Linked DNA regions of Drosophila melanogaster. The protein of the gene in region 2 interacts with the protein of the main gene of each other region in a pairwise test. Each region holds a gene or a part of one and is shown on either strand. Other genes may lie near its edges.

Region 1 (11,048 bases), on a different chromosome or scaffold from region 2:
GTTCGAGAGTCACGAGCCGAGGTGGTAATTCCATTTCTTTCGCAATCCTTTTAGCTGAGTAACGGGTATATAATATTCGATTCGATGAAAAGTCTTTTTGTTACATTAATTTATTTGAGAATCAGAATTTCTGTTTGTGCCATTCGTGCTTGATAAACGCAAATTTTCAATGCACAGTTTACGAAAAAAAAGCGATTATTAATACAATTTTCCTGATGTTCTTATCCAAGGCCTCACAAATTCCAGGTAATATAGATTAATATGATTGATAAGCAATTTAAAACTTATCAACGAGGTAACATTCTTTTTCGGTTGGCTACAAAAGTTCAACAGCAGTCCGAAAATGCTGCCAATAGTTGCACAATCATGAACAACAGTGGGTTGCTGCAAATGCAACCGCAGCAGCAGCAACATTTAGGCAACATGTTTCTCCTCTTTTTTCTTGTCCCCGCTTCACCTTCCACCGCCTGCTGAAAAGTGGCGAGTTAAGACAAGAAATCGGCCAAAGTGATCATGTTTATATAGACATGTATGTATAGACAAACCAAAAACGACAAAGGCTGCATACACACAACGGTTTGCGAACCAACGGCTGCACAGTTGCAGCAATCGAAAAAGTTGCCAGTTGCAAAAATCAAACAAAATGGCACAATAACAACGAAAAGGCAACAGCAACGACAGGCAACTGCAGCAAATGTCTAAAAGCAGCAAGTAAAAACGAATGCATCCAGCCACCCGCGTCTCACTACCCCCACTTCATTATGTAGCTTATTATCAAGAAACTTCAATAAGGCCAATTCGGGACGTCCAATAGGTTTTAATAGTAATTCTAGTAGGTTTTTAATACCAATTCACATTTCACTCAAGACATCACATAGTTAAAAACCTATGCATGCACTCCAAACCGAACCTTGTTGCCGGTAGTTAATTGAATAACTACTAAATAATTATTAAAATTGTAAATTGTAAAAACGACAAGCAATTATATTTGTGTGTTGTCTTGTTCTCTTCGGTTTAGAAAGAGTGGAATGCATATATTTTTTCAAGCTTTTTTTCCCCGGAGTTCTTGGCGAGGTTACAACAAGGTAAACCTGCTGCCATGTTGTATCTTTCAGTTGTATTTTTTACCATAGACAATGGAACAAAGCAAACCCGTTCTCGCTACTTTCGCAGTTTGCCTGCTAGAATAGGAGAAGAATTGTGGTGAGGAGGTCAATGCTGCAATTGTTAACTGCTAATTAGCAGCCAGAGTCAAAGCCAGGGAGAGAAACAGCATGTATCAACTTATGTATTGCAAGAGTGGGTGGTGCACTGCCGAGGGAGAGGCACGGATGGCCGAAGTGGGTATCAAGGCGGTTGGAACACCCGAAGGCATATTCGAAAACCGGTTAACAGCTGGCAGCCAACTGACGAACGAGAAATACATCACCGAATGGGCAAATCTCAAAGACTTTACAAGTTACAGATATTAAGGCGTATGGGTCGGGTTAATATAAATATCTGCATGCACAAAAAGAGTTACCAGAAGCAAAATTTTTTTTTGCAGAATTGGAGACCAGGCTTACCACTCAAGCCCGATAATTTATTGCCTTCTTCCACTCATTGCGTTTGTAAGCATGGGCAAATCCCTACATCAGTTGCCAGTTCTTGTAACCGCGTCTCGACGGCAGAATCGACCGCCTTTAGCCAGAGTTATGACCCCGAAAGCTGTAAATTAACCTTTGAGGCCGCGCACATTTAAAAGGAGTTCAAGAACATAAACCAGCGTCCGCAATGTATAATCCGGAGCCAATCAACTTCCAAACTCGCGGTCAACCTTCGGACAGACTGAATCCCAGCTTACGAAATGAGAAGAGTTGAACGGTAAGAAGGCACGGTAAGAACGGCTGATAGACACAAAAACCGCAAGCGACGCAGTCAAAATAATAATGAGCCCGACATTTAAAATGGTTTATGAGACAGCCCCTTCTGCGGCTCCTCGAAAGCACAAGACTTGGCCCAGCCGCAGCCTCATCAGCAGCGTTGTCAGCCGCAGAATTGGCGATTCTTCGATTTTTCTGGGTCAAGCACCACGCGAAAGCAGAAAGAGCTAAAGACTTGGCCCAAGAAATGTGTGGTAGAGGTAGAGTTCAAAACGTGCCTTGGCCGTACTATTCAGACATGCAGTGCCTTCCCACCCTCTTATTCTCCCTGATCGAGACCGTCTCTGTTTCGTTGTCGAAACAATTTCCGGCGGCTGCACCGAGAAAAATATAACGTGTAACGATGATCGAACAATAAAGACAAGCGAATCTATACAGAGTCAATTCGGAAAGCTTTAAGTTTTCTAGAACCGAACATAACACATGTTTAATTAAAGCCTTTATGGCGTCCTTTTTGCGCTTTCAGAGCTCGGTAGAGTTGAATGTCAATGTAATGAGCCAGCCAAGTTCGGGTCATAAAGCCTCTGCCACATGAAAGTAGTTCAAGTACTCAACGGCGCCGTTACATTTCACTGCTTATGAATTGGGAGTCGCCCGGCCAGACAGTCCGCCAGACGACACTGACTTCCCGATGTGTTAATAATTTTGTTTTGATTTCAGGGATTCGAAAAGCCTACTTTGACTCTGTGGAAGGGGATAAGAAAATATAGCGCTTGAATTGGGCCTCTTGGATCTTTAAATTTAAAGGACAAAGGAATATTAAATCACTTAAAAAATGGTAATTTTTACAGCCCCTATATTGTTGTCCTTAAATACAAATGAAATGAAAGCATATGGTTTATACGATTCGCCCAGTTTTCACGATGTTCCTTTTGAAATCACATCAAGTTATGGGATGGACATCATGGACATCAATTATGGGAACATTTTGTTTTTAAGGAAATGAGATCATCTTACCATTTTAAAATACCTAAAAAATTATGGGAACATTTTGTTTTTAAGGAAAGGAGATTATCTTACCATTTAAAAATAACTAAAAGTATTCCAATTGTCCCTTTCTCAGTCTATCAAGATTTTAATGTATTTCCGTTGCTGTGTTGATAAGATTTGTTACCCAAAAGCCAGTTGGGATTTCACGTTTTACTCGTTTTGTTCGACTCACATTCTAGTCACATTTTCATAGAGAATTCGTTTAATTTGCGTGCACATTATGCGTATAACATTTCTTGTGCAATATGTACCCGACTGGAAGCCACTTGATGCCAATCGAGGAAATTATTGCACGACAAATATCGGATTTTTCACCTGTGAATTAATAACGGTAAATTACTCATCCAGCGTCGCGGCGGGCGCACTTGTATGGGTTAACGAGCGAGCAAGCAAGTCAACGAATTCACAATAAAATAAACAAAATGCAGACGCGAAAAATCGACGAAACTTGTTGGAGCTGAAAACGCGGAAACTGTTGCAAGCGAATCGAAACCAGAAAAACTTTTCTGCACACTCTGTCCAATCAGAACAAACACTCGAACTCTTCTCTCCCACACACACTACACCAGCACTCACACGCACAAGTTCTGCTCTTGCACTTGCCTCTTTCTACTGCTTTCTTTGAGTCTTGGGTTTTATTTTACACGACTGCGGCGCTCTTGTTGCGTTTTCCTCACCTTTCGCAGAGTTTATTGACATTTTCAGCGTTCGCTTTGTGCGCTGCTTTCTTCGTGCGCAATCTCTTTTTTCTCTCGCCAGTCTGTTCGCTCTTTCTCTCTTTCCCTTTCTTCTCTCCGCTCACAACACTTGCTTTTTTGTTTACAATGGAACGCTCGCACACACACACTGGTAAACGGGTCACTCACACGCACACAGAATAACCTTCAATTTTATCTTATTGCGCGCGCCCCAGTCACTCGTTATTCTTAAACTTTGCCGAAATTAGGATTTGCTTTGGTTCGCTGCTGCAGCTTTAAATATCAATCAATGTCTTTGCAATGCTGGTGTGGTTAGAAATCCACATTCACCTCGACGCCTCTTCCACACACCCATACACGCAGCCACGGACGACCTTTGCGGTGCGAGCGAGACGACCCGCCACAAAAAACTCCACTTCCGCTCTCTCGTTCACCCGTTGTGCTGACGGCGAAAAGGTTTTCGAATTAAGTACATACATATATTCTTATTCACTTATTCACGGATTTAACTACATATGCCACTGTAGGCGCTACCACTCTTTTTCGCTCACAGCATGAACGGTGTTTTGCGCTCGAATCCGATTCCACAACCGCTCTAGCGATCACACGACGCAACACAGTCCCGCCTGCGACGAAGTAGCAAAATGTTTGTTTTGTTAGTGGAGCTCTCGGTCTGTTAGCGAGCGTTGCCACCTTTCTGCGAGCTGTTGCTGCACACTGCCACTTTACGAACACAGATCTGATAGCGGGACAAAATACGTCAAGGCAGCGACGGTGGGTTACTAGTGAATTTGGAACGGTGGTCTTACGACGTAATGGTCTTTTATATTTTCATTATTTTTTAAATTGTCGCTCATTTACCAATAAACCTTTTTACTTTTTCCTGATAGTCCGAAGTCAGATCAAATAGGAAGTTTCACAAAAAATTTTCATCCAGAGAAAATACGCCGACGCTATTCGAGTTTTTTGTATTCGTTAACCGGGAAAGAATAGTTCGAATTCGTTCGCACTTTATCGATAGTAGATTGCTATTATGGAGCCCACTTGTAAAATAATTTAATTCCAGACTGATAAAAGCGATCAACTTTTGTTAGTGGTTTAAGTCTATGATAATACTTAGTTCAAATTGTTTCAAAGTAGTCGATAATTTATAATAACAGTTTTAGATGACCTCTAGGAAATAACTAATTACCCACATTCTTCAAGAAGTGTTTTCAATTTGTTCTATAATTAAATAACAGTTGTATTAATTATGTAAATATTGTTACTCATAATACAAATTAAACAATATAAACACACATAAATAAGAGAATTGGAATATTTTGTCTCAGATTAGATTTTCCACACGGGAAATTTAAATCACCACGTTTGGTAATATCGTATCGTTTTATCCTAAACGAAACACGCTTATTAATACATAAGCTAATTGTTTTTATACCCGTTACTCGTAGAGTAATAGGGTTTACTAGATTCGTTGAAAAGTATGTAATAGGCAGAAGGAAGCGTTTCCGGCCATATTAAGTATATATTCTTGATCAGGATAAATAGCGGAGTCGAACTGGTCATGTCCGTCTGTCCATATGAACGTCGAGATATCAGGAACTATAAAAGCTAGAAAGGTTGAGCATCGACTCGGCTTAATAAGAATATATTTTATATCTGTTAGACATTTTATCGGATGAATTGTAACAGGTATAATAAACGATTTCTTATATATCGTCAGACATGTGTGTATATTTTGAACGAAACAACTTAAATTAGTTTGTAATGTTATTTTATAAATTCCATCCTAATAAATATTACTGGATTTGCAATGAGTTCCTTAGAACATATTAGTACTCGTGTTTCACTAACCATGTCCATCAAGCTGACACTGCTATGAATGGGTATGTGTGATGGGTATCTGGTGGACAAGCTCTGATCTAAATGGTGTTGTCCATCCCAATAGCACTGACTTGTCTGTAGTCTAAACTGTGAAACACTCCTTTATTACTGAATTCTAGATAAATGTACATACATATGTATACTACGGAGTGGTTGCGAAATCAGAGGCAATCAGATATTGAAGCAAGTTCAAGTGACATACAATGGAATTGGTCGTGTATAGCCGCCTATAAAGACATTAATAGACGACCCCAAAGCTCTCATTTAAGCTTAGCTTTAGTTTTCGGTAGATACAACTTATTAGTGTCAGAGATATTGAGCTTTGGTCGGCCACTGCATTTACATTATTTATTGCGTAATATTTAAATTGATAAATTGCGCATATATGCTAATGCTAAGTCTTCAATCCATATGTTATATTGTATTTTCACGCATTTTTAGATGAAGAAAACATTCTTGACTCGGATCGACTACGATCCACATTGGCATATGTTTGCCGTGCATAATATGGGTATTCTCCATTTAAATGTCTTTGGATGTGGTTAGCTAATTGGTTAATTAAGTGAGACCGCGGGCAGAAAATATCGACGAAAATACATTTTTGTGCAAGACAAGCCAAGCCACGTTTCTCATTTCGAATCGTGGTTGCTGTGTGAATTTTTTAAAATTGGAATTATTAAAACGGATTACGCCTGTTTTATTTACCATTTGCGGCTCCTTCTTTTTCTGTAACAAAAAAATATGACACTGGTGGTTTAAAGTAGGCTAAGCAAATTCGCGATGCCTCATGAATAGGTTTCGCTTAAGTGACAGATGCTTTCAAATGCAGCATTTTTGCATTGGAAATTAAACCATATGCGAGTCTGCGATTAGTAATATATCAATAAGCAGAGCGCCGGGTGAGGGTCGATCGCAAGCGAAAAATGTTTCAAAATGTTTAAATATTTTTGGAACGTTGTCTTTGTGTACGTATTTCTAAAAGTTAGTTACGTTTAAGTATATGGGTACTTTTCTGAGCCCAGTTATCAATCAAAATGTAGGAATCATATTTTCGTAACTATAGGGGACAATAGCTATTAAACGCTTTAGAGGCTGTTTACAAAACAGTGAGGTGTCACAGTCCCGAAAAATGTTGTCTCACGATTGGGCAAAAATGCCCTTATAATGCCCAATCAGATTCAGCTTCAGCTTGGGTGGTTTCCACTCGACCCATAAGTGGGGTAAGTCCCATTTAATATTCAAAATAATAACCCCACATATGTGTGTATATACGTATATAGGTGTGTGTCCGTATTTACAAGTTTTCTGAGGCTAACGCCAAGCTGGTAATCCTTGAGCGCTTGGTCGAGCATGTAGTTTGGTCATTAGCACCGGCTAATAGTTAAACAAACTGATTTCCGCTAACTGCACCGGCGAACGCATATCAGTTGACCTTTGACATTAGCCGGCAGAGGCCCTTTAATCGCTTCGTGGCCAGCTGCCTCGCATGCAAATGAGTGTTGGCGTGTCCCGTGGCCGCTCGTCGGCGGAGTCTCGCGGCCAAGCTGCCCTATTGACATTGCCAAACCCGTCCAAATCCCCCGATATCAACGAGCGGCTGCCGGCGAACTGTCACGGTCTTAACCCCGCGCTGGGCACTAAAAAATTGCATCGAAGACTGCCCGGGCAGTTGGTCTGCTCGGGTTGGGTTTCTTGTGATAATACATTTTACTGTATTAGCATGAACAGTTTTCCAATATATCGAAAACTCCCCTTGTTTTTCTATGCATCTGGGTGTGGTTTCTTTGTTAGAGCTGTCAGTTAATTATAAAAAGTGTGCTCCCATATGAATGCTTGGTCCAAATAATTTAAAAAAAAATAACAGATCTCAACTTTTGCTTTAAGAAACTAAAATACCCTAAGCAAATAACCTTTAAGTAGAATTTAATGTAGTTTAATTAATTAACGACTTAATCATGTATTAAACAAGGCGAATATTATAGTTTTTTTTTTTTTAATTCTCCCTAAACCATATTCAAAACTTGAAAATTAACGTTTCTTAATGTTAATACGTAAGATCAAAGGGAAAAATAAAATAAATATATCTTTGTTTCGTTTTGATCGCCCAACAGCCGCCTCTGGGTTAATGATCACTGCTCCGCTCTCTTCTTAACTGTCTACCTTTTCTTCGACTAGAAGAAGCGCCAGGCCCACACCGAAGACGCGAAGACGGATATCCAGCAATAATAATGGGCCAGACCAAGTTAAGCATGGCTTTTGGTATAAAAGTGCGGGCCCATCTGCAGTTCGACATCATTCAGCTTGAGCGTCTTGCGACAAGAGCTTGCCAAAGCAAATCCAACGAACTTTAAAAGCCCGACCAACAAATCAATAACAATGGTGAGTAAACTGTCCACTGGTCACAACTTCGATCAAGAAAGCCGTTGGCCTTGCTCAACCGCTCGCCTTGGCCAACCGTCAAGATGTCGGGGATCCCGATCGCTCACTTGACCCTTAAATTTCCGCTTATTTTAGAAACTCTTCGTCTTCGCTGTGTGCGCCATCGCCTTGGCCTCCGCCGATGTTTCCCACCTTAACCTGGGCAGTGGTTATAGCTACAACAAGCCCACGCCGACCTTCAACATCCCCTCGGCTCCAGCTCCAGCTTATCTGCCACCCGTTCAGGAGGTGATATCTGCGCCGGCTCCAGCTCCTGTGTACTCTGCTCCTGCGCCTGCTCCTGTTTACTCCGCTCCAGCCCCAGCCCCAGTCTACTCCGCTCCGGCACCAGCACCTGTTTCGGAGTACCTGCCTCCTGTTCAAGACATCCCAGCTCCAGCTCCTGTTTATTCTGCTCCTGCTCCAGCTCCAGTTTACTCTGCTCCTGCCCCAGCTCCAGTTTACTCTGCTCCTGCGCCAGCTCCTGAGTACTTGCCTCCCGTCCAGGACATTCCAGCTCCGGCTCCAGCTCCCGTTTACTCCGCTCCTGCACCTGCTCCTGTTTACTCCGCTCCAGCCCCAGCTCCAGTCTACTCTGCTCCCGCACCAGCACCCGTTTCGGAGTATCTGCCTCCTGTTCAAGACATCCCTGCTCCCGCCCCAGTGTATTCTGCTCCTGCGCCAGCTCCGGTATACTCTGCTCCTGCCCCAGCTCCAGTTTACTCTGCTCCTGCGCCAGCTCCCGAGTATTTACCTCCCGTCCAGGACCTTCCCGCTCCTGCGCCCGCTCCAGTTTACTCTGCTCCTGCTCCAGCTCCAGCTCCAGTTTACTCGGCTCCTGCTCCCGCTCCAGTTTACTCTGCTCCTGCTCCAGCTCCAGTTTACTCTGCCCCAGCTCCCGTGGAGTCGGGCTACCAGTACAATGTGCCTGCCAAGCGTTTCCGCTTCTAAATGGACATCAGGTGGATTCCAAAGAGTTCCGCAGCCATTTGAGTGGTGACAGCTTGTTAAATTAACAAGTGCCGTCGCCCATTGTTGTTGAATATTTGTTGTTACGCAAAGTTCCCGTTGAGATTTTAGCTAATAAAAAAATTACAAAACAAAAAATATAAGCTCGCTGCAAAATTGAAATGGACGAACGGGTCCAGTGTTCCGCGGTTTCGCTGTCCCTTTTAAAAACGAGTATTTAAATTTAGCACCATAAAGCCTTTAGAGACGCGATCTGCCGGCTTACGTAGCGTTTACCGAGCGGTTTCAACAACGGCAGGTTATACAAAGATGACCTGAGGTGTAGGCCATAACTGCGTTGGCAAATTTTCGCAAAGAGATGTCGTTAACGCTAGCCACTCAACGAATAAATTTAGCGAATATGAGAGAAATCTGAAAAATGTGGCACAGTTTCAGTTCTACTTAAATAAATGGCTTGGGAAGAATAGTCGTTTTAAGTGGTAGCCGTTTTAGTATAAAAGTCAATCTTTTTGAGTTAAAACCATTGTATGAAGACTAGAATATCATATTTAATACTTTGTAGTCATAATGATATTTTGAAATTCCAATTTCGCTTGTTCCCTTATGCAAAATTCAAATGTTTCCCCTTATTAAAATTGATATGAGGTCCAAATTGTCCCAAATTTTAACTTCCACACCTTCACCGCTCTCTCTCACCAGGATCACTTAATTCTACAAGGACTTTCACGCAGTCTAGCTTTGCTATTTTACATTTTTTGGGCATATCAAATGGGAAAGCGCCATTGTAACCAATGCTAACCTTTGTTGGGCGCTGTTAAAAATCTATCCTCTTTTAATTAATTTCATTATAAGGCAATAGAAAACATCGAATTTCAAATACTTTCCACTAATAATAAATAGTTTTATTGTGAACATTATGTTTTCGCCCTTTTTTGATTTAGTACCATCTTCTTAACGTTATAATGGATACGCAAGTCAATCTTTTTAAGTATGCACTGCATAACTGGTTTACTTACATAATTTTGTAATTAACTCAATCTATATATTTATTGACTATATATATTTATGATCATAAGTTTATCTTATATTCGTATAATTATAATGGTATGTATAATTAATAACTTACTTTTATTGCGTTAGGGCTCAAATCATATAGAGCTAAATTAAAATACTAAAAGTAGTTGATGCTTGATTTAGCTAAACTGTAACAGCACATAAAGGGAACTAAGTTAAATACAACATAGAAAGCCGATGGGAGTGACGTTACAAAGCAATCAAACATAAAATTTCTATAAAACATTAACTGATCGCCAAAACCGAATTTAAAAGAATCTTTGGAAATCTTTTTAAAGAATTCGGATCAGTTTGGTGTGTGTATGTTTTATTATAGTTTAAACACAAAGCTTATATTGGTAAAGTATTGCCAAGATTGATTTCTAGCCCTAAAGTAAAATTGTTTTTTAACTTTACAAGCAGATCGATATATACAAATTTAAATAATGCTCCCGCCGGCGTTTGTTATGTGTCATAATCATCCTGTTGCGAGCTAAAGTAGCTTACCAACCCACTGAACTCTCCCACGACTGCTGTTCCTGTTGCGGATGACGGAGCTCTCGTGTCATGAGCTGATCCTGAGTCTTCCTCGGCTATAGGTGCCGGTGACCTAGTAGGTTCTGCCGGACCCGATACATCGGCCACTACTGCAATCGGGGACTTCCTGATGGGATACGCCTCTAGAGTAGTTAGCTTTTTGCTGGTTATCACAGAAGCCAGTGGTGGCTTGTGGCTGCTGGTTTCGCTGGTTATTGTGGGTGGCGGGGCTGCAGCGGGTGGTGGACCTGAAGACTGTGTCGGAGTTTGTTGAGGAGGAGTCTTTCCATGCGTCAAAGTGGGAACCGAGTGATTCGTTGGCGTCAGGGTGTGCGGAGCACTTACGATCACAGAACTTGTCGCTGCGTGGGCAGATGGTGTGGACAGCGGCGGGGGCGGGGGATAATAGCCATATGGGGAATATCCACCTGTAAAATATAAAGTTAAATAATCATCAAATACACATACAACATAAACCTATTAAATAATAAAATATAAAACGGTTACTTAAAATCATCTTAAAATGTATTGTTAGTAAAATCATATTTAATATAATTTTCAAATTAAATAGCATCTG
Region 2 (7,987 bases):
CACCTGGGGATTGGAAACGTTTAGTTTTAGTCATGGATCAGGGACTCCTGGGACGTCATTTATTAGCTCACCTCTCGTTTTTTTGCCACCTCGTCGTAGGGGAGCAACTCCAAAATGTCCTGAATTAGTGTTTGTGGCAAGTCTAACAGATTCATATTTCTCGTTTATACTTATTACTAGTTTCGAGCGGAGCGATTATAGTCGAGAATATTGCTATTGTTTTTAATAAGACTGTGATGTCAGCTCATGGAAATGCTGAAAACGCCTTGTTTAGCCACAAAATACCACAGACTAAACCATGAAAACATACCAAAATAAACATACCAAATAAATAAATATCTTACAGTTATTTTACATGTGCGTCAAATTAGCGTTGGTGAGTTTTTTATAGGTGAATTCCAAAAAATAAAAGTGCGTAAAAGAAAAGAAAAATCTAGCTACGTATGTACGATTTAAGTTTATATCAAATATGCATATAAAATATCAAATATGCAATTGAAAAAGGGGCTACCCACTCTTTGTTATAATGTTATGTTTTTTATTTACAAGATTGGGAACAACAACAACACAATGAGAACGGAAATGGATTTAAGCTTGTATCAGAAATTTGCTAGCATCATGAATATCATTTGCATAAGGTTCCAGCTCAGGTTTCTTTTTGGGAATGTAGGGATTGTGCTCGGGATCGGCATTCAAGCTGTAAGAAATACCAATAGTTTAAACAAAATAATATATACAAATTAACCATACAACTTACTGGTAAAAGTGGGTAGCCTCCTCACACTTGACATTGTACCACCAATCGCAGGCGAATTCCTTCTGGTTGAAGATGGTGCCGTTGGTGCATAGGAACTTGGCGCCCTGGTCACCTTCGCGTCCATCGTGGCACACGTGGTACGCCTGGCAGCCCGTCTCCACGTTGGCGTACATTCCCGGAGTGGCCGGCACATTGTGGCAACTGAAGTGGGTGTGTGGCACCTCGTGGTAAATCGGATAATCAACGCCCGGAACTCCAGGTATCTTGTTCAAGTCTTGCTTCTTCTCGTGATGCTGCGGGTGTTCCGGTTGCGGTGGATTGAATAGATATCCGAATTTCTGTAACCATATCAAATGTTTCTATTGCATAAGACATGCCACTGCTCGTGCCCCAATCCGGTTTGGTCTTAGTACCCCCAAATCCCCGCGTGACACAGCCTCATTATAACAATACTCGTGGATAGATATACTTTGATAGAAATATTCAAGAGACTGTAATCATATTTACTTTCAGACATCAAACTCTTCTTATGCTCAAAAGTAAATAAAATATTTGTTAAATAGTATATTTTCACATCATAAATCATAAATTTTTTATCAGTGTACACATTGAGTACATTGCATGCTACAATTTTTGGGTCAAAAGTGAACGTGGCTAAGACACCCAGAGCTTTGTCAATTGGGGTGGCACACACTCCTCCCAATCGACTCCCTAGCATAATTATACACTCGTTTTCCGATACCCAATCCTCACCTGAACTTCGATGGCCACCGCGGCTCCGACAACGAACATTAGCCAAAATGAGAAACAGCCCAGCTTTGGCATCATTATGTCGGTTACAAAAGTATCTATGTATGTATCTTTTCCGCCTACTTTGTCGCTAGTTGGTGGTAGCTTGGAGTCTTTGGAGCTGCAGAGACGACCGATCGAGTTGGGTTTGAAAATCACACTGAACTGCAGTTTTCCCAGCGGCAGCCACTTGAGCATGGAGCTTTCAAGGGTACCGATCCGATTTGTGTAACGATTACGATTTTCGCATTGGAAGCTGCCCGCCCAAGCTTTTCCATTCCCCAAAATCGGCAAATTAACTTAGCTCTGCTTCAATTATTGCCACAGTAAACGAACGGCTTGAAGCTTAATGCTCCCCTGCTCCCCACATAATTATGATATAAATAGTGAAGTATACCATTCATGTGGGAAATGCAACATACAACAATGTACGGACACGCGCATGGTTTTATTTTGCAAGATACAAATTGTTTACGCTTAACTAGCTAAAAGCGATGAATTCCCATTTCACCTGGCCAAGCTTAGATGGTACAATATGTGGATGGGTTGTGGGTTGGCAAGCGATGGGTGGTGGATGCAACTGCCTGCACGCAAAAGAAATCTAAATACCTGTTGATATAGTTTTCAAATTCAATTAGAGTATACAACAAAAAACTTGAAAAGATTTAGAAAGCTAAACAGCTTCAGTTATCTAAAAGGTTTAATTTAATATTTTATTTTATTCAATAGAAAACAAAACGGTTGCATATCACTTCACGCTTTAATAACCAAATAAGAAGTATATTTTCAATGTTTTGAAAATGTGTTGTGTATTGGTTTTAACATTAGTTTTACCTCAATTGTGACCACATTTTTTCACGGTGCATGGGCTGGATACGAATGGCTTGCAAACATGGGAATGGGAATGGATGTGCACTAAACGGTGAGCGGGCGTATGGCAAAGGTTTTGAAATGATATGCACATGGTTAGATAATGGATGCGAACCACTTGTAAACTTAACTCTTAACTGGAGATAGATCTCATAGCTGTCATATTCATAAATTCTACTACATGTTGGGTATTAAAACTAATAATTCTTTCGTCCCGTTTGCTGCAGGTCCAGTTTGTTCAGCAGATCGTCAAACTCGCTGAAGAGCTAAGCAAAAAAAAAGAGAAAAAAAACGTAATAATAAGACCCAAAAATGATTACATAAAAGCGCTCTGGGATTAGATTGCTCTCGACTCACATGGGTTGTGCCATAGCTGTCCACATAGGTCTTGCTGCCCCTGGAGGTTTTCTTGAAAGCGGGCAGCACCGGACTGTGACCATGCAGAAGATTCACATTCTGATAAGACTGCGCCTTGGCCGAACCGGCCAATGGATGCGACTGACTCTTGCCAACCGTGGGCGCCAGTTCCAGAAAATTGGGCGCTAAATTGGACGAAAGCTCAGCCATTGCTTGCACTCCTCAATCATTCCGACAACTCACCCTTCTTTGGCTGCAACTTGACCTGGTTGAGCAGCGGATTGTGCAACTGAAGCTGCCGGTAGATGGGCAGGGCGTGCTTCGGTGGCACCACCACGTGCTGGCGGCCCACCGCCTGCGGGTACAGGTACGTGGTCTCCACCGTTGGCACCTGGCGGTAGTGGTATCGTCCCTCCCGCGGCGTATACCTCCCATCCGAGCTCAGGGCGATGTGGAAGACGGTGCGCATGGGCTTGCTGTAGTACTGATACACCTGGATGGGAACATACGGTTTTTGAGTGTCTATTTGGCTCTCCAAGCTTTATGTAAATGTCCGTGGTTGGGCAACTTTAGGATACAAGTTGCTATAGCTGGTTGATACTTTCAGTACCTTAATTTTTATGGCATCTAAGCATGTTTGACTTGTTCGAATTCAGTTTTTTTTACTTTACTTACTTTTAAGAGCACAACATTTTTGAACATCTATGAAAACAACTAAAACATAAATGCATGCTAAATTCGGATTATGCTGTTATAACAATTTGTTTAAACTTGAAAAATGAACGCACGGATTAAATATATAAAAAGCATTACTAAATGATTAATTGATCTGTGCTTAATTTGCTAACTTTTTATTTCCCTCACAACCGAATTGAGGTTTTGGCATCTATTTGAAAAAAAACAAGCTATTTCCGTAAACATATTTTGGAATCCTGACTACACTGAGCAACATAATCTTTGTGTACAAGCTAAAGAATTTTCGCTTAATTTGATAGGTTGCTGATCCCTTCTAAAAAGGACCTGCTGAAGGATATTTTGCGAAAACACAAATTTACTTGAACTGCCACATTTGCCGATCTTTGGCCTAATCCCTTGCCCAAAGAACCCAAGAAAAGGGCTATAATCCAGCTGGGCATCCCGCTGATCCTTACCTGCGGATTCCGCTGCTCGGGAACTATCCCATCTGGCACTGCGATGCCCTCCTTCTGCAGGCGATTCAAAAACAATCGATCCGTCTCAAAGGCGGTGTCGGGTATCTTACCACCCGCATGTGGCAATACTTGTTCCCGATAGATTTGGCGTTTCTTGAAATTGGTTTTTCGACAGTATTATTTATGATCGTATACGTTTAGTGGCGATGCCATGGCCTACACACCTTGTGGTTGCGCTCAGCAAACTCCGAGCCTTGGGCAATTATGAATGGGCCCACGCAAAGATATAGTAAACCGATCAGCAAGATCACATATGGCGTAGACATTTTCAACTGTTTTGTATTTAAGGAATCTTTTTTTTATTTTTTAGCAATTTCCTGATCGGCGAACTCAAAAGGTCAAGTTGTTCGATGGATCGATTGAAAGACACTAAGATCACAGATTTCGGCAGACAAACGTTAAGAGCTCGGTACACAAATCCAGATGCAAGACATTCTTCCACATTCGACAGCCAAATTGCACAAGACGCGGCGACAGATGAATGACGAGCAGAATGAGCGATCGCGACACGATCACGTGACACGATTGGGTTGCCAAAGCAATCTGGTAATGGTTGTTAGCTGGTTATACGGTTGTACTATATCGATGTCTATATATATATATATATCTATAGACGCCGCGATTACTTGGTTCCGATCTTGGAGTTACGTTGTGGTCGCGTCGACGGTGCCAAACATAATGAATGCAAATGCATAAGACCGATCTCCACCAGCGGGTGCCCTCTGCCGACGACTTCTGCCGACGCGTTCATCATCGTCATCCCCACCATCATCATGATGATCATGATCGTCATAGCTACTATCATTATCATCGTGAAAAGCATAGTGAGCAGACGTATTTATTTGTAGACTCTGAAACTGTGAATGATTTTCCATTGCTTTTACTTTGGCACTACTACTTAATATAATACCAACTTCTTGCCATAGTTAGTTTTATTTGCGGTTTTAACTGGAAGTGGCAGCAAAATCGTTATAGCCAAATTGCCTCAATTAATCTCTATGAACCCCCGCCCCCCTTCCCTTACCATATAAAAACCCAAATCCAAATCCAAAACCGAATCCGAATTCATAGTGGGTTGATGGGTCCCCGGCTACTTGACTTGAAAGTCTCGCTGAGATCCCTTGGTGCCCGTTCGTACATCTATGTTATACGTAATTACGCCGGTTTCTTGGACATGGCAATTTTTTATGGTAGCACTACAACCTTTTTCTTGCCACGAAAGTGAATGGCTGAATTGGATTGGTTCGGATTGCCTTTTGTTTTTGGCCATTTGCAGTTAAACAACTGATTGCGCCCTCAAGTCAACACTTTGCTGAACGTTTCATATTTATTGATTGTTTTCGTTATTATTTTAAATATTTGTGTAATTTTTTTTCTATTCATTTGTTGTTGGCAGCCACTTGCTGTTGTATTGCCTATTTGTCTCGAGAGGGTTTTGATGTTTTCTTTTCGTGTCAGAAGAGTTCGGTTTTTGTAAATAAGGCGCTTTATTGGCGATCGAAAGGCCTTGAAGGTATTGTGAAAGTGGATTGGTTTTTGGTGAATGCTTGAAAGGCCTTTCTCAGAGGATAATTTGTTTTATAATTAGTACTACTTATTTTCTAGGGCACGTGCCTAAGAAGTAATTGTTTCAATATATTTGTATATCTTAACATTTAAAACTCAACAGCTCTTCAAAAAATACAAAATTCAATATGTTCATGTTATATTCAAATTAACATTTTTGGAAATCCATTAATCAAATTTTCAACATAAAATTTAATAGAGCGAAGGCAAGAAAAAAAATAATGATTCAAAATCATTGTTTTCAGATATGTGTTTTAATCTCAGTTGTTTTGAAGGCAGTAACGATTTCCATTTCTTTTTTAATAATTTACAATATTCCCACGCTTCCGCATTTCGTTATTTTTTTTTTTAAATTCCAATCGCATATGCCATTTCATATGGCACATGCGTGTAAAAGTAGAGCCAACATAAATGTTTAATGCAAAACGGGGAGAAAGTACTTCCAAAGATACAAGATACAAGATAAGAACGTCTACGAATTGTAGATCGATTGAAATGCCAAACACAAAGACCAAAAAGCCCATAGTAATTCCAATTGCACAATTGCCGCCGAAAAAATGTTTTACATTACAAAACTACAATAGACATGGCAGCAAAAGCGAAAAAACGAGTCAGCTTCTGCAGTTTAGTAGATTGTAAAATTCAGACCTTGACTCAATCAAGATGCAACAAAAGATAGATCCAGCTATTGGGTAGACCCTAGCAGAGATTGATTATTTTAAATCATCACCAACCTTGGACCTCGGGCATGTTCATAGAAAATATTTGTCTAATCGTTCGAAGCTGCTTTTCAATTGTTTGGCCCAAAACCAAATTGTTGCGGTCGCTAATTGGCCAAGTTGGGAGCTTCCTGGAGGGGCTCGCTCGCCACACAAATGTTCGAAATTCGATGTCAAGGATAAAAGTTGCCTCTTCTGAACCAGTCATTCCCAGGCCTTTCCAATTCGCATCTTGTCACAGAAAGATGACAGGCCAATACCACGACCACGATCTGACATCTACTCGATCTTCGAACCGAAGCGATCGTGCCTGGTTTGTGGTCCACATCTTTGCCTTGGAGGTTACCTAATTGGCCAAAAGTCGAGTTCAATTGCCCATAATGTTTGAACTTGTGGGCATTTTTGTGTGTGTGTGTGTGGGATCGAACGAGCAATTTGGTGAAAATAACATGACATCAACACAAAACGAATTCGATTCGACGCCTTGTCCACTGTGCACTTGTTACCAATTAACAAATGACTATGCACACTTGGTAATTGAAGTTGCTCGATCAGGTTTTTGGCCATTCAGCGAATGGTTATTCCGAAATGATCTGAGCAAGTGCCACGCGTTGAACCCGCAGGCCAGAAATGGCAAAGGAAGTTCAGGGTCATGTCAGTAAGAAATTGAAAATTAAACAATAAGTTACTTAATTGATTTTACCCATTTCGAAATCAGTAAAATATTAATGCATTTATTCAGTTGACATTCTCTTATATCTTTTTATTTCGGTGTATATATTTTATATCTTTGCTTGGTTTACACTTTAAACATTTTTCAAAAAAGTAAACATTCATATCAATCTTTGTTCTTCTGAATATGTAATATGGACAACTCTAAATACTTTTCTGGGCAGATATACTTAGTACTCGTTGCGTTCATATATCAATATACATATTTACATACAGATGACAGATAATTCTGCGGCTCGAACTTTTCATCATTTTACAAGTAAATCTGCTTCGTTGTCTGCACAGACTTTTAAATGCAAAATAAAATGTTTCAACTTGTGTTTCTTGTTTTATTTACTTGATAGTTTCGCTAAGTATTTCTCTTTAATAGCTATAATTAAAATACAAAAATATGTATGCAACAAAATAAGTATGTTTACACATAGTGAATATCGGGGCAATTCAATGTAACTTATTACTCGGCTAGATTTCGTATAAAAAAATGTATTCTCTGAGTAATTTAGCTCAACATATTTGGAACTGATCGATTGCAAAATAGGCTTTACAATCCTAATTCTTACGCTTACTTACTAAACATGCTAAAATGTTAAATAATGTACGCAAATCACGCGAATTTGCCACGGAACAAAGTAAAAGTGGGAAAGGCATGATAACATTAGTTTTGGTTTTTTTTTTTTGCTTTAGGAGTAATACTATTTTAGAACAGAGAGGAAAGGGTGGGGATTTTTGGAGGATGGTACGTAACTAAGCCTCTTACAGATCCATACTAAATGGTATTAATAGGAAATCAATAGGAAACTATTAAAGTGCACTTAGTAAAGTTCCAGTTTGAATGCCGCTTGAATCGTTCAGAACTGTTCTAAAAGTGTTTCTGAACGGCTATCAACTAGCTTACTCTCTACATTATATAATCGCGAGTGTACTAAAACGTGCTAAAACGGCATAATGGTGCTCGGTAGTGTGCTACATACATATATTGTAGAAAT
Region 3 (7,380 bases), 150 kb from region 2:
ACCATTGACAAAGTATATCTGAGCTAATACCCACACTCATTAAGTGTCGAAAGCACTGATAACCCACGTTGGACTGGAGACTAATTACCCCCAGCCGTAAATAACACATGCAACCATTTCTTCTATAAAAAGCAAAAACCATTGCGATATAGATTTAATTTTAAGCATGTCTAAAAAGCTGGTATTGTTGCTATTGTTTGTTGCCACTGTCTGTGCCCACAGGAATCGCAATCGTACGGCTCATCATGGTGGTGGTCCCAAGGACATCATTGTAAATGGCTATCCAGCCTACGAAGGCAAGGCACCATATGCTGTGGGCCTGCGAATGAACAATGGAGCCGTGGGCGGAGGTTCCGTAATTGGAAACAATTGGGTCCTGACCGCTGCCCATTGCCTGACCACCGATTCCGTGACCATACACTACGGCTCGAATCGTGCCTGGAACGGTCAGCTTCAGCATACGGTGAACAAGAATAACTTCTTTCGCCATCCAGGATATCCCAATAGCGCTGGTCACGACATCGGACTCATTCGCACCCCGTACGTCAGCTTCACCAATCTGATCAACAAAGTTTCGCTGCCCAAGTTCAGCCAAAAAGGTGAGCGTTTCGAGAACTGGTGGTGCGTGGCCTGCGGCTGGGGAGGAATGGCCAATGGAGGATTGGCCGACTGGCTGCAATGCATGGACGTGCAAGTCATTAGCAACGGAGAATGCGCCAGGTCATACGGATCGGTGGCCAGCACTGATATGTGCACCCGGGCCACCGATGGCAAGTCCGTGTGCGGTGGCGACTCTGGCGGAGCACTGGTCACTCACGACAATCCCATTCAAGTGGGCGTTATCACCTTTGCATCCATCGGCTGCAAGTCTGGACCATCGGGCTACACCCGTGTGTCCGATCACTTGGACTGGATCCGAGAGAAGTCGGGAATTGCCTATTACTAACAAGGAGACTCGATCAATGATGAATCTAAATCAAATCATTGTCTATCCAGATATTCTGATATTTTTGTTCCACTTTAAATGAACCTATGTAAATATATATATATCCACATTGAGCAGAAAATGGGGTTTACTTGATACTATATTCAAACTGTAAATTGAATTTACTTTAGTAGTGTCTAAATTAATGATTTATTTATGGTTATCAAGTAGAAAAGTTCTTGAGTTGATTAAAATTAAACTTATATTGCGTTGCGTGTGGCTATGAGTATCCGATGAGATACGGTTAACACAAAGACAATGAACAAATCCGTAATCGATAAGGCTACCAGGTCGTATATAAAAACGCGTTGTTCTGGGCTGAATACTAAGTTTCCTCCGAGCCATGAAGCTGTTCCTACTTACACTCTCCGTGGCCCTAGCCGTGGTCGCCGCCTCCCCAGGCTTCAACCGCACCAGCCTTCTGCCCCAGGTGACCATTTCCGAGGGTGCCGAGGGCCGCATCGTCAACGGTTACCCAGCGCCCGAGGGAAAGGCTCCCTACATTGTGGGACTGTTGATCCGCACCGATGGAAGCAACAGTGCCGCGGTTGGAGCTGGAACCATCATCGCCAGCGACTGGATTCTGACCGCCGCTCACTGTCTGACCACCGACTACGTGGAGATCCACTATGGATCCAACTGGGGCTGGAACGGAGCTTTCAGGCAATCTGTCCGCCGTGACAACTTTATCAGCCATCCAAACTGGCCCGCTGAGGGCGGTCGTGACATCGGTCTGATCCGCACTCCCTCCGTGGGCTTCACCGACTTGATCAACAAGGTCGCCCTGCCAAGCTTCAGCGAGGAGAGCGACCGCTTCGTGGACACATGGTGCGTTGCCTGCGGATGGGGCGGCATGGACAATGGCAACCTGGCCGACTGGCTGCAGTGCATGGACGTCCAGATCATCAGCAACAGCGAGTGCGAGCAGTCCTACGGCACCGTGGCCAGCACTGACATGTGCACGCGCCGCACCGATGGCAAATCCTCTTGCGGAGGCGACTCTGGTGGTCCACTCGTTACCCATGACAACGCTCGGCTAGTGGGAGTGATTACCTTTGGCTCGGTGGACTGCCACAGCGGTCCTTCCGGCTACACCCGCGTCACCGACTACTTGGGATGGATCCGTGACAACACCGGCATCTCCTACTAAACTCTTAATAAATCCTTTGTATTTTTTTAATAAAATCTTTATATGAAATATAACTGTATTCATTAAAATGTGGTGATGAATGTGCCACGTATACGGTTAACCAAATTCCGTACAAGATTGCACAAACGATATGCACATACAACATACCCCTTAGGCGCGCCTCACGAAAAAGGTGTCCCCAACAAGGTGCCCCAAACCAGGTGCTTCTAACAAATAAATCCCTACACGGTTCCGCGCTGTAAAGGAGTATTTAAATATGTTTATTTTTAGCATCCCTATATTTGTTGTCAACAAAAGGCTTCTTTCACACGCCATAAAGTACGCCCTTATAATGAAGTACTTTTCTAATAAAATAAATTAAGTAAAATATAAGTAGTTGGCAATAAGACGTGTGATTATTGCATTCAAGTAAGATAACCATATGAAGTCAAAGATAACAGAGCTAGCAAAACCCCCATTTTGTGAAATCTGACGAATTTACTATCAAAATAAGGGAAATATACGACTTATTTTGTTATTTTTTGGCTGGCATCTTGGCTAGCGAAAGTCTACTATATTAGTTACGTGTCACGACAATTGAGTTCTTTCGCGGCCTAATTTATAGATCAGCTCATGCTCTTATCTACTCTTACCTGCTTCACAAGGGGTACAATAGATTTACGAGGCACTTCGGCTCCCAGTATATTTTGCATTTCCTACTTGTACCGATAGCTACGATGTGAAGTGGTCCAATCCCGCCTGAGATGCTAATTCCATAACAAATGATTAGAAACGGACACTACGAACTCAAGTGCACGGCATGAATGAATCCTCTAAGTATGGGTGAGATACGATTTCATTGTTGATTGATAATAGGAAGCCTTATCAATAAATATTGTCTCAAAAATCGTATAAAAGCAGGTTGCCTCGACTAGAAGAATAAGTTTCTTCACAGCCATGAAACTGTTCCTGCTAACTCTCTCCGCGGCTTTGGCCCTGGTGGCCGCCTCCCCGACCGGTCTGAACCGCACCACCCTCCTGTCCCAGGGAGCCGAGGGTCGCATTGTCAACGGCTACCCAGCGCCCGAGGGCAAGGCTCCCTACATTGTGGGCCTGTTCATCCGTACCGATGGAAGCAACAGTGGTGCCGTTGGTGCTGGTACCATCATTGCCAACGACTGGATCCTGACTGCCGCCCATTGCTTGACCGGAGACTACGTGGAGATCCACTACGGATCCAACTGGGGCTGGAACGGTGCCTACAGGCAGACCGTCCGTCGCGACAACTTCATTAGCCACCCCGACTGGCCTTCCCAGGGCGGCCGAGACATTGGTCTGATCCGCACTCCCCATGTCGACTTCAACGGACTGATCAACAAGATCCCTCTGCCAAGCATGAACGAGCAGAACGACCGCTACCAGGACACCTGGTGCGTCGCTTGCGGATGGGGTGGTATGGACAACGGAAACCTGGCCGACTGGCTGCAGTGCGTCGATGTCCAGATCATCAGCAACAGCGAGTGCGAGCAGGCCTACGGCTCGGTTGCCAGTACCGACATGTGCACCCGTCACGCCGACGGAAAGTCCGTGTGCGGAGGTGACTCCGGTGGCCCCCTGGTTACACACGACAATGCTCGTCTCGTCGGTGTGATCACCTTTGCCTCCGTCAGCTGCCACGACGGACCCTCTGGCTACACCCGCGTCTCGGACTACCTAGAATGGATCCGCGACCAGACTGGCATCTCCTACTAATTGACTTAGGAACAGTAATGACAATGTTGAGGATTCTTCAGCAAAGTCTTTGCTTTTCTAAATAAATTCATTCGAAAACTGCAAACCAAATTTCTTGACTATCTATTGAAAAGTATTAACTTGCGTACTGAATATTAAGGAAATGTATTTAAATGTACAAAAAATATCGAAACAACTCACCTGTGGAACCCACTGATCGGTAAACTAACATCGGGTAGAAACTCAGTGAGTGGAGCAAAGTATCCTCCATATTCTGGCATTGGCAGTGGATGTGGATGGCCGTTTGGCGCAGCATCCGACGTTCCGCGCAGCTCTACATTTTCCTCTTGCCGCAACTCCGGATCGTTAATCAGTATATCCTCTGGTCGAGGAAGTATGGAAGGTCCCGATGCGGCGCGAATCTTATCGGCGCCTCGAGGTGGACGATTTCCACTTGAGCCGGGAGTAACTGCAGCGGCGGCAGCAGCTGCGGCTGCTTGTGTGTAGGCTCTAATGCCGCTGTCCGATTTGCAGGTTCTGCGGGAATTGAATATTGAATATATTAATACCATATAAAATTTTAATCAATCAAATGGACTTACCCTATTTTCATGGGATCCTCTCCGCTGTGCCGCTTGGTGTGAATTGTGCCCTTTTCAACAGCCAGGTCCTGAATCCTGGAGTCATTAATGCCACCTGCAGCTTGGCCTGTCACAAAATGATCAATTTAAATTCAACACTTAAGTATTAGATTGCCGAGAGGCCAATTTTAAGACCTACCATCAGCACTGTGACTGGATGCCTTTCGCATGCTGGTCAATCGGTAGAAAGGTGGCGTCTCCGTGCGCTCAATCAGACAGTTGAGCGTCTCCACCGTCTGCAGCTCGGCCATGAGCTCATCCAACAACCGATCCGGACAACTCCGCACCAGATAAAGTGCCACTCGCTTGGCCTGATTAAAGAAATTTTCGAAAACATCAAAGATACTCCTGGTTACCGTTGAAGTACGGCACTTACATAGGGCAGCAGTTCAGTGGGTGCCATGCCACTCATGATTACCAAGTAGCGCAGGATAACCTTCAGATTGTTCGGCCAGAACTGGCAAAGTGTGCCCCACAGCTCCTCGATGTCGCGTGGATGGGCGTCGGAGAACTGCAGTGGAAACAATTAAAGATTAAAGTCCATCCGCTGTGACGTGAAGATAAGCAGTATATCGTCATACCTTGGCTGTGATGTAGAAGAGATTGTTCAGAATCATTTCCGTTGCCTCCGTTGAACCGGTGCCCTCGCGTCGTCCTCGCGTCCCTGAATCCGGAAAATACTGCCAAAGGATAGAAGGGAGCAAAGGTTTGAATGCGTCTCCGGTTTTCAAAGAGGATGAGCCATTTCATGCTTCGCTTACCATAATGTAGGAAAGGGGCGTGGCGGGCGGCACACTTGTGGCCACCAGCTCCATGTTTTGCAGCCAGGGAAGGAGACACTGTAGCAGCAGGGCACGCACATCCTCTCGAGCACTTTGGAATCGATGGGTGATTTCTGTAATATATATCCCAATATAAAATAAATATTGATAAATTTAGATTTTTTCTTCTGTTTCAAGTTAACAGAGATGAAATACTCACCAGAAAATATGGACATGGTAAGTTCCGGTCGTAGCTGCGCCAGTTGTTTCGACAGGAAGCGCTGGGATCGACAGTAAGCGCTGCTCAGCAAGACGTCCAAGGTGCCCACCTTGTCATCCTCTGAAAATGGGAAAGAAAACGACGAGTTAATTCAGTAGTAGATCTCGTAAAATTTTACGACATTTTAAAGCCCAACCAGGAAGCAATGCCCCAGGCTGCGTGGCCATTTCAGGGCTCCTCACTGGAGGACGGCCAAAAGGCAACTAAGTATAACCTCCGGTAATGCTGTTGGCCATTTTCCAATGCCACTGAAAAGAGCTTTTCCGGCAACTGGAAAAGCCGCGACGGCGGCGGCTTGTTATTGTTTTCATTACCGCCCAGTGACAATGTGACCACAAGAATTGCGCGAGAATTGGCTGTTTAGCGGCCCATTGTCTACCACCTAGTGGCGCCGTTCTCCTCCTGCGAATCCTGCTGGGCTAATCCTTCGACGGCACCAACTACCACTTGTTGCCACTGCTGCTGCTGCTGCTGTTCCTGCCAACCCTGACCTTGTCACCTGTTGATTTTATGAATGAATCCGCGCCGGCGCAGTGGTCGAGCTAAAAAGCTTTCACTTGGCGCCTTCCAAGAGTCAATCGAAAGCAGTTTAAAAGGCTGCCACGTCCATTGTCTCGGCTTAGTTGCGCGCTCATTGTCCTGCTGGTTGGACGAACCGGCAAGGAATCAACAGCCCAATTGGCCGCCAAACTCAACAGAGCGTTTGAAAGACAGCGAATCCCGAATATAAACACACGCATTCGATTCCGAGAATTATCAATTAATTGAAAAAATATCGAAGAATGTCTATGGCTTGCGCAAAAAAAAATTCAATTCAAAAATAAAACTAGACTGCAAATAAATTGTGCTTTGTGAAAACAAGAACCCTCAGAAGTTTTTTGAGGAAAACAAGAACTTTTTGTGTGTGGCAAAAGTTTTTTTTTTATGATTTTACCTGGCGTTTCTTCTTTGTTTACATCATTACGAACTGTGTGGAAAAAATGTTTGGCCGATAATGAACTTATAACACATAGGCGAACAGCAATCGGAAGTTTCAACAAGTTTGCCGAAAGAAAAGTTTGGCACAAAGTTTGAAAGTTAAAAATTTCTTAATTAAGATTAAGTTAAGCGGAAACAGAAATTCGTGTGAAAGTGCCAAGTGAATTAGTTTGATTGGCCAATCAATTGCAATGGACAAACATATGTCCGAGGAAATGCAAATAGTTTTTGCCTTTGACCTTCTTCAATTAAAAGCAAAATAAATAGAGCAGTGCAGTAATGAGCGTGTCCAAGTGGAATACAAACTGTTCCGGAAATATCTCAAAATAAAAGCAACTAACCAACAAAGGACTATTGCATTGCATTAAGCATGGATATGGAGTATATAACTAGCAGTAGTGGCAACATAACTGCCACTACAGAAGCAGATTTCAGTTCATCTTTGGGCGAATCCAATGTCACGGAATACAATACAACGGAAATGGACGCGAATGAATCAGCTGGCGAGGATGAGGAGATGCTAAGGATAGCCTTTTTTATAGGGCACTTCGTGCATCAATACTATATACCAGTGCTTTGCTGCACGGGCAGCATTGGCAATATCCTCTCCGTGTTTGTCTTCTTTAGGACCAAGTTGAGAAAGTTGTCCTCCAGCTTTTACCTGGCCGCTCTCGCAGTGAGCGACACCTGCTTCCTGGCCGGACTCTTCGCACAGTGGCTGAACTTCCTCAATGTGGATATCTATAATCAAAACTACTTTTGCCAGTTCTTCACGTTCTTCAGCTACCTGGCCAGCTTCTGCTCCGTCTGGTTTGTGGTGGCCTTCACCGTGGAGCGCTTCATTGCCGTCATCTATCCACTGAAGCGCCAGACCA
Region 4 (6,729 bases), on a different chromosome or scaffold from region 2:
TACTCTCACTCTTGTACTAAAATGAAAACTAGTAGTAAAAAATACATCGCCAATTACAAATAAAATGGTGAAAAAACAAAACTATTTTCGTATTTTTAATACCTTGCAGCTAATATAAACAAGTAGCTAAACAAGAAATGTTCACTAAAGCATTTGATTAACACAATTTCAATGCAAATTAAAGCCAAATATATACAAATATGTATATATACATATTAAATATGATCTTTAAATACTTGCTATTGAAAAAACTTTCTAAAGGCTCCAAAAGGCACGCCTCTTATGATGGACATTACTCATACGCACTGTTGCACGCATATTAACCTTTTCTTAATTTATTTGTATATACTATACTCTAAATTCCTATAGCCTTAAATGACGAAAAATAATGTTATAATTTTATTTTTGATGAAAACTATATAATTATTTCAGAATATAGATAAGAAAACTTGTTATTTAATAAAAATAAATGAAACTGTATTTAAAATTCGAAAAAATTACCATTAGGTGTCATTCTAATTTTAAATAATTTTGGTATTTAGTAATTGAAAGAAGTAAGAATTTAATTATAGAAATAATTGTTTTTCAAAATACTTAAATAAAGTTGAGCTTTATGCCTGAATTTCATTTTAAATTATTTACATAGCCATATTGACTTTCTTACAAAAAAAAACTATGACTCCCTGCCAATCCAAAACCATAATCTTTCCAAGTACCTTGGCTAACCTTTTTTGCATAAAACTTGCTAATAAACTGTGTGCTAATATGACAGTTTATTGATTCGGCGGAATTGAACGCATTAAAACGGGTTCGCAATACTGGGAAAAACGAATCGCATGGGGCGCCGCCAAGTCAAATGGAATCAGGTTTGCAATCTGGCCACCTTGCACGTGAATAGAATCGCGTTCTGGACCAGCTTGGATTTCCCTCTTCCAATCGCGCAGCTCGGGGCTATCAGTCTGCACTTGTTTACGCTCAATTTCATTGAGAACGTCGCACCGCTGCACTCGGGAATTTCTCGATGGAGGTGTTGGCTTTGGCTTGAGCTTGGGAGAATCCCAATCTCGGCCAGACTTTTCCCGGTGTCGCTGCCAGTTGGTTGATAAGACAGATCGGTACACTTGGCTGCTCTATGACTATATAAAGCGTGTTGTTCTCAACACTTAGCATCAGTTGTCAACGGCTAATACGCGGGAGTCAAGCTCAGAATTCAACCACAAAAACCAACAACATGAAATTCCTATCACTCGCCTTCGTTTTGGGTCTGCTGGCTCTGGCCAACGGTGAGTAATGCCAACTATTTACAAACTAAATAAGTTATTTAATTATGATTTTAATTATATTTCCAACACAGCCACTCCCCTGAATCCTGGCAATGTCATCATCAATGGCGATTGCCGCGTCTGCAATGTGAGGGCCTAAGGGCAGCGGAGAATGAAGGATGCCAGTTGAAGTTCACACAGCCACACATATTTTTAAGTCGAAAATGTAATAGAAATTCCTAGAATCAAGTGCCCATATTAAATATATTCCAAACAAAACAACATATTATTTGTAATGGGGAAATATTATTGATTTCTATAGATAACAACTGAAAGGCAGTTGAGGTTCAGGCAAACCACTTAAATGTATTCCAATTGCAAAATGTATTACAAAGTTCTAGGAAAACAAACTATGAAACAATCACTTGTCATTAAAAGACGCTTAAAGTCAGCTTAATATTTGTTATTTGTTAGTTTAGAGATCTGGAATGAGAAACAAATTATTGAAAATGATCTTAGGCGATGGAGAATACCGTATTTAATTCAAATAAATGTTTTAAAGACTAATACAAATTTTATATTATCATATTATGATTTGATTAATTACATTATTATCCAAATAGATCAGCCTTGCTACTGTATGGTTTAGCAATAAAATCGATACAGCTTACCGATTTTTTGTTTAATAAATAACAATAATTAAACAACTAATTAATAGGCACTCCTTTCCAGACATTTCTTTAAAATAACTATGTAAAATCCCGCAAAATAATTATAAACAATTATATATATAATATAGCAAATACTATATGTACTATGGCATATAAAAAGCAGAGCACTCGCACTTTGGCAGTCAGATTTATTCGAAATCCCCAAGGAAAAACATGAAAGCTCTTCAAGTCGCCGGAACTTTGATGCTGCTTTTCTGCCTGCTGGCAGCTGTTAATGGTAATTATTTAATGAAATAATAAAATATATATATGATATTTTTAGCTAATCATTTCCTTATTGCAGCTACGCCGGGACAAGTGTATATCAATGGGAAATGCATTGACTGCAATAAGCCTGATAATGATCCGGGAATTATAATTCCTCCAGACCATAAATCAGCTGGATCCATGTCTTACACACTCACATCTGGAGCCATCTTCTTTGGAATTATATATCATATATTCAGTTAAATTACTATGTAATCAATAAGTTAATAAAATAATATCTTTTATTTCTCAAAAAAAAACCTTAAGCTTGTGACAAATTGCGAACTTAAATACAACCCTTATCACGTATAGATTTAGTCACATATTAAAACTGCTATTTAACAAATCCCAACTTTATGGGTATTTAAATTGCATTTAGATTATAGCAATTGCATATTAGATTAAAATCTGTAAATTTAATTTAATTCCCAGCTTTGTTTAAACCGCTAGGAAGCTTTAAATAATTTAGCTTTAATTTTTATATTTATTCATATTGATTTTGGAATTAGATTTCCTATTTGAGACAAATCTACAATAATCTATTATTATTTATATTCGATTGATTGATCGCTATCGCTTTATTTTGTTTTGCCATTGTTCTGAATGTACATCGCCTTATCAACATTTTTTTTTGTAGGGCATTTCCAGACTGGGCACAACTTTTGTGTGATTACAACAGCTGAGATACGTACTATCCGGGAAAAACCTGATATTTAAATTTCATCATAAAGGTGCCTATAAAAGAAAACCAATGAAGTGAATTTTTATCAGTTTCATTTCAACCGTTGCCAACAATATGAAGTGGATGTCCTTGGTCTTTCTATGCGGTCTGCTCGCCATGGCAGTGGGTGAGTATCTATAAGATTCATACATCCTTAACCAGTATCCTAATTATTTTTCTACTATTACTATAGCTTCTCCGTTAAATCCGGGTAATGTCATTATCAATGGAGATTGCCGTCATTGTAATGTTCGCGGAGGCTAAATTGGAGTTATAAAACTTTGATGTTTAGTAACTACAATAAAACTTATGAAAAATACAGATTGTGCATAAAGTGATGGTCTTTTTTATTTTATTAGTACGCAAACTATAATAGTTCGAACTTCATTTCTAACTGCAAAAGTTAATAATTATAATAATAAACAACATTTTGGTGTTTCAGTGACTTTAGTTTATTTCATATTCTGATTTCCACATTCTAATCGCCGCGTATATTGCAAACTTTGCAGTCGCCGTTTATAATCACATTGCCAGGACTCAGGGGATTGGCTAGAAATAAATAAATAAAAAAAAGATTTCAATTAGAAATAGGTTTTTATTATTTATACAGCACATCATTGGCACTTACCACTAGCCAAAGCCAAAAGTCCGAAGAGAAAAGTAATCGAGAGCAGCTTCATATTGTTTGTGATTTGACGATTCAGCGACTAAATTGCCTATCGATTCAAACAGGTCTCTTTTATAGCCGCGCAAATCGGTTTGATTAGCAAATTGCGCACTTTTTCAATTAAAATATGACCCCTGGAGTATATAAAAATGCGTCATAACTTGATTTGAACAGCCTATCCCCAGCGATTTAGTAGCTTTAAAGAGATCTTTGTCTGTGATTGGCAAACACACAAAGCAGTTATTAATTCCAGGGAAATTTCAAATCTAACTTATTCGATTCTAGCACTTTTGAAATATCTTATTTAATGCATATAAAAACAAAGAATGAAACAACTGAAAACGTAACGAATGACACTGCAGTTTACTAGCAAGAATTTAACTTCTTAAATTTTCGTTTTCTATGTGTGTATCTATGTGGTCGCCAAAGGTAAATGAACGTGTTTGTGGTCGAATTAACTTTGAAAAAGTTGCTGTAGGTGGGTATGTTTGATTCAGTTTATAAGTAACTTTGTTTGTGCACTAAAAGAAAAACCTTAAATTTCAAAAACGAAAAATTGTTATTGTGTTTTTATCAAAGGTATATACCATTATTTCTTTTTTATATATCATATTCTAACTTACACTGCTTACTAGTTAGTTAATAAATAATTAGACCGTTTTCTGTTTTTTTTTCAAAGAAAATATTTATTGCTTTTCATTGCAATAAACATTGTTTTTTTTCACAATGTACTTGTTTTTGCACATGGCTGGCAATTAAGCCAATGAAGCATTAAAAACCACCAGTCGAGTTCCATGCAAAATGAGTTTTTTGGCTGTTTCGTGGGGCTTAAGGCGATTGTCGGGGTTTTCGATGGGTGTGTGTGTGGGGGGGGGGATGGTGGGTGGTTTTGCAGCAGAAGAAAGGTGAGTGCAAATGGGGCGGAGAAAGGGTTTAGCGCAGTCAACCAGCATCCACTCACCCAGGATTAGTGCCGCATGCGCTAAACGCTGTTGTTGTTGTCGTTGTTGTTGTTCCACACACATTTGTCAACGTAGATGGCATTACGGATAAATGAACTCGAGCCAAATGAGCGTACACATGTACGTATACGTAATATGTGAAAATGTGCGCCTCTACAGACGGCCAACCGACACGTGCGCACGTTAACAATTTAATTACGCGCTGCGGGCAGCGGCAGCTGCCACATGTTCCTCGAAAAAAGAAAAAAAAAATGTTAATCATCGAGTCGAGTTGGTTCATTCAGGAATTAAAGCCAGCGCCCAGTTTTGCCTTTGTGGCACGTTTAAAGCCGGCCAAATGTTTCAGCCAAAGGCCTTGGAGTGGTGTTTAAGTGCGGCAAGTCGCAGGTCTCAAGTGCTCATGTTCATGCTCCATAAATTCAAATGGAACAGAAATTGAAAAGCCGTTGGAATATTCAATGGAAGGAAAGGGAAGCATGGAAGGGAGGTCGTACTTTGCTAGCATAGAAAGTAAGACAGGCTTGGATAGGAAATAACATAATTTAAAATAAATAAAACATTAAATGGTCTCTTTATTTACTTACTATTTACATACATAAACATCTTCTGTGCTTTTATATTTAAATGATACAGTGATCTACTTAGGACATGGTTAATACAGACCAAGAGGTATAAGTTGTATGGGTTCCAAGCCCATTAGCAGCTTCCTTTATAAGCAAGTACGCCTGCACTTCTTTATAATAATAATAAAAAAACTAACATATTTCATTGGGCGTGGCACTTCCAATGGGCTGGGCTGGGCGTTAGAAAGTAACAACTAGAAAGTAGAAAGCAGTGCTTCCGAACATGTGTACATTTTGTTAGTTGATTGCCTGAGCGTCCGTGCTTGTGGTTACATTCTGTTGATTCCTGTTGGCTTTTCCCCACCGTTGGCTTCGTTTATTGTCCTTTTTTTTTGTGCTGCGGTTAGTTTTATGGCTCTCACCATTTGGCTTTATGATGCAACCAACTGTGGCCTTTTGCATAAACTTGAAATTCATTTCGCTTACCCTCAGTCAGTGCGCTCCATGTTTGCCCAGGTGAAAGCCACAACCAATAGTTTAATTAGAAAACACAGTGCTGTTGTTTACTTAACTACAAATTCGATACAATTTCTCGATTTTAATTTGATTTCAAATAACCCTTTATGATACTTAAGTGATATTTTGTTATGTTCAAAACGAATGAAGCCATATCTCGTTGTCACAAAGTAAATTATCCAAGGGACTGACAAACAAGCAATTGAACCTGGTTTTCCCAAAAAAAAAAAAATTTTCAAAGCAAAAGCAGCAACTTACCACTGATCCCATCCCCTGACAGTTGACCCTTCCATTTCCATCAAATGACATGGCAGTCAACACATTTAGCCCCTGCCGTCACGTGAGCAAAATTGCTAATCAACTGGGGGATGAAGGACATGGACTTGGACATGGACATGGACATGGCCATCCATGTATGAGTGGTGGTCGTGGTGGTGGTGACCCCCAGTTATTGTGGCCCGCTCCTGGGGAGTGACGACAACTCATCATTCCGTCGTTGAAGTCGAGGGCTTTAATGTGCTTAAGCGTTACGAGCATGAACAAACATTATTGTCCTGTGGGAATCGATAAATTGGTGCTGAGTGCAGGGTCTTCGGATTGGCATTGAAGTTGTGGAAGTGACACTTTGATAACCCAAACCACTCATTCCGACCACCCACTTTTTACTTTGAGAGATACTAATGTGTGAGTGAGTGGGTGTTTGGTGGATGTTTGTTTGCCAGTTTGTGGCAAATGTGTGGATGGATAATGGAGGGTGGTTAAGTAGCTCTGTCCAAATGAAATTCGAAATCTTTCATTCCAAATAATTGTACAGATGCATATCTGTGGTTTAAAAGGGTTATGTTCTATGTATCTTTGAAATTTATTGAATTCTTTTTAGCTAGAAATATTTAATTAGGTTGCACAACTCAAAAGTATGCAATGAAATTAGGTTCATTTACATTAAATTTTTCATATAATAATCTATAATTTTTACCAATAAAAGCACCGTCTTATCAGCGCTTCTTTCGTTTGATGTTCATCAAAACAAAGCGTCGTCCCAGATTAGTTGTGAATCTAAC

What was found.
Region 1: the proteins of CG32036 (region 2) and CG31626 interact in a two-hybrid assay, tested with the Drosophila melanogaster proteins (one large-scale study listed by BioGRID).
Region 3: the proteins of CG32036 (region 2) and CG18180 interact in a two-hybrid assay, tested with the Drosophila melanogaster proteins (one large-scale study listed by BioGRID).
Region 4: the proteins of CG32036 (region 2) and BomS6 interact in a two-hybrid assay, tested with the Drosophila melanogaster proteins (one large-scale study listed by BioGRID).

The regions. Positions count from the first base shown.
Region 1 is NT_033779.5:21,230,460-21,241,507, reverse strand, and holds CG31626 (uncharacterized protein), read left to right. Parts: upstream 1-4,774; 5' UTR 4,775-4,864; intron 4,865-7,472; exon of another isoform or gene 7,473-7,605; 5' UTR 7,606-7,870; coding exon 7,871-7,873; exon of another isoform or gene 7,874-8,008; coding exon 8,009-8,863; 3' UTR 8,864-9,013; downstream 9,014-11,048. Other genes in the region: CG8677 (uncharacterized protein), read right to left, coding at 10,400-10,899.
Region 2 is NT_037436.4:9,487,550-9,495,536, forward strand, and holds CG32036 (uncharacterized protein), read right to left. Parts: upstream 1,685-7,987; 5' UTR 1,586-1,684; coding exon 1,511-1,585; intron 1,096-1,510; coding exon 758-1,095; intron 698-757; coding exon 589-697; 3' UTR 501-588; downstream 1-500. Other genes in the region: pall (pallbearer), read right to left, coding at 1-3, 72-155; CG32037 (uncharacterized protein), read right to left, coding at 2,614-2,682, 2,774-2,958, 3,017-3,266, 3,925-4,077, 4,149-4,250.
Region 3 is NT_037436.4:9,637,961-9,645,340, forward strand, and holds CG18180 (uncharacterized protein), read left to right. Parts: upstream 1-3,052; 5' UTR 3,053-3,071; coding exon 3,072-3,866; 3' UTR 3,867-3,953; downstream 3,954-7,380. Other genes in the region: fry (furry), read right to left, coding at 4,047-4,382, 4,448-4,553, 4,626-4,797, 4,863-4,997, 5,068-5,166, 5,248-5,381, 5,468-5,587; CG8329 (uncharacterized protein), read left to right, coding at 167-946; CG18179 (uncharacterized protein), read left to right, coding at 1,329-2,135; CNMaR (CNMamide receptor), read left to right, coding at 6,876-7,380.
Region 4 is NT_033778.4:18,386,954-18,393,682, forward strand, and holds BomS6 (bomanin short 6), read right to left. Parts: upstream 3,677-6,729; 5' UTR 3,641-3,676; coding exon 3,589-3,640; intron 3,510-3,588; coding exon 3,439-3,509; 3' UTR 3,400-3,438; downstream 1-3,399. Other genes in the region: BomS3 (bomanin short 3), read left to right, coding at 1,232-1,283, 1,355-1,422; BomT2 (bomanin tailed 2), read left to right, coding at 2,147-2,210, 2,277-2,443; BomS5 (bomanin short 5), read left to right, coding at 3,036-3,087, 3,154-3,224.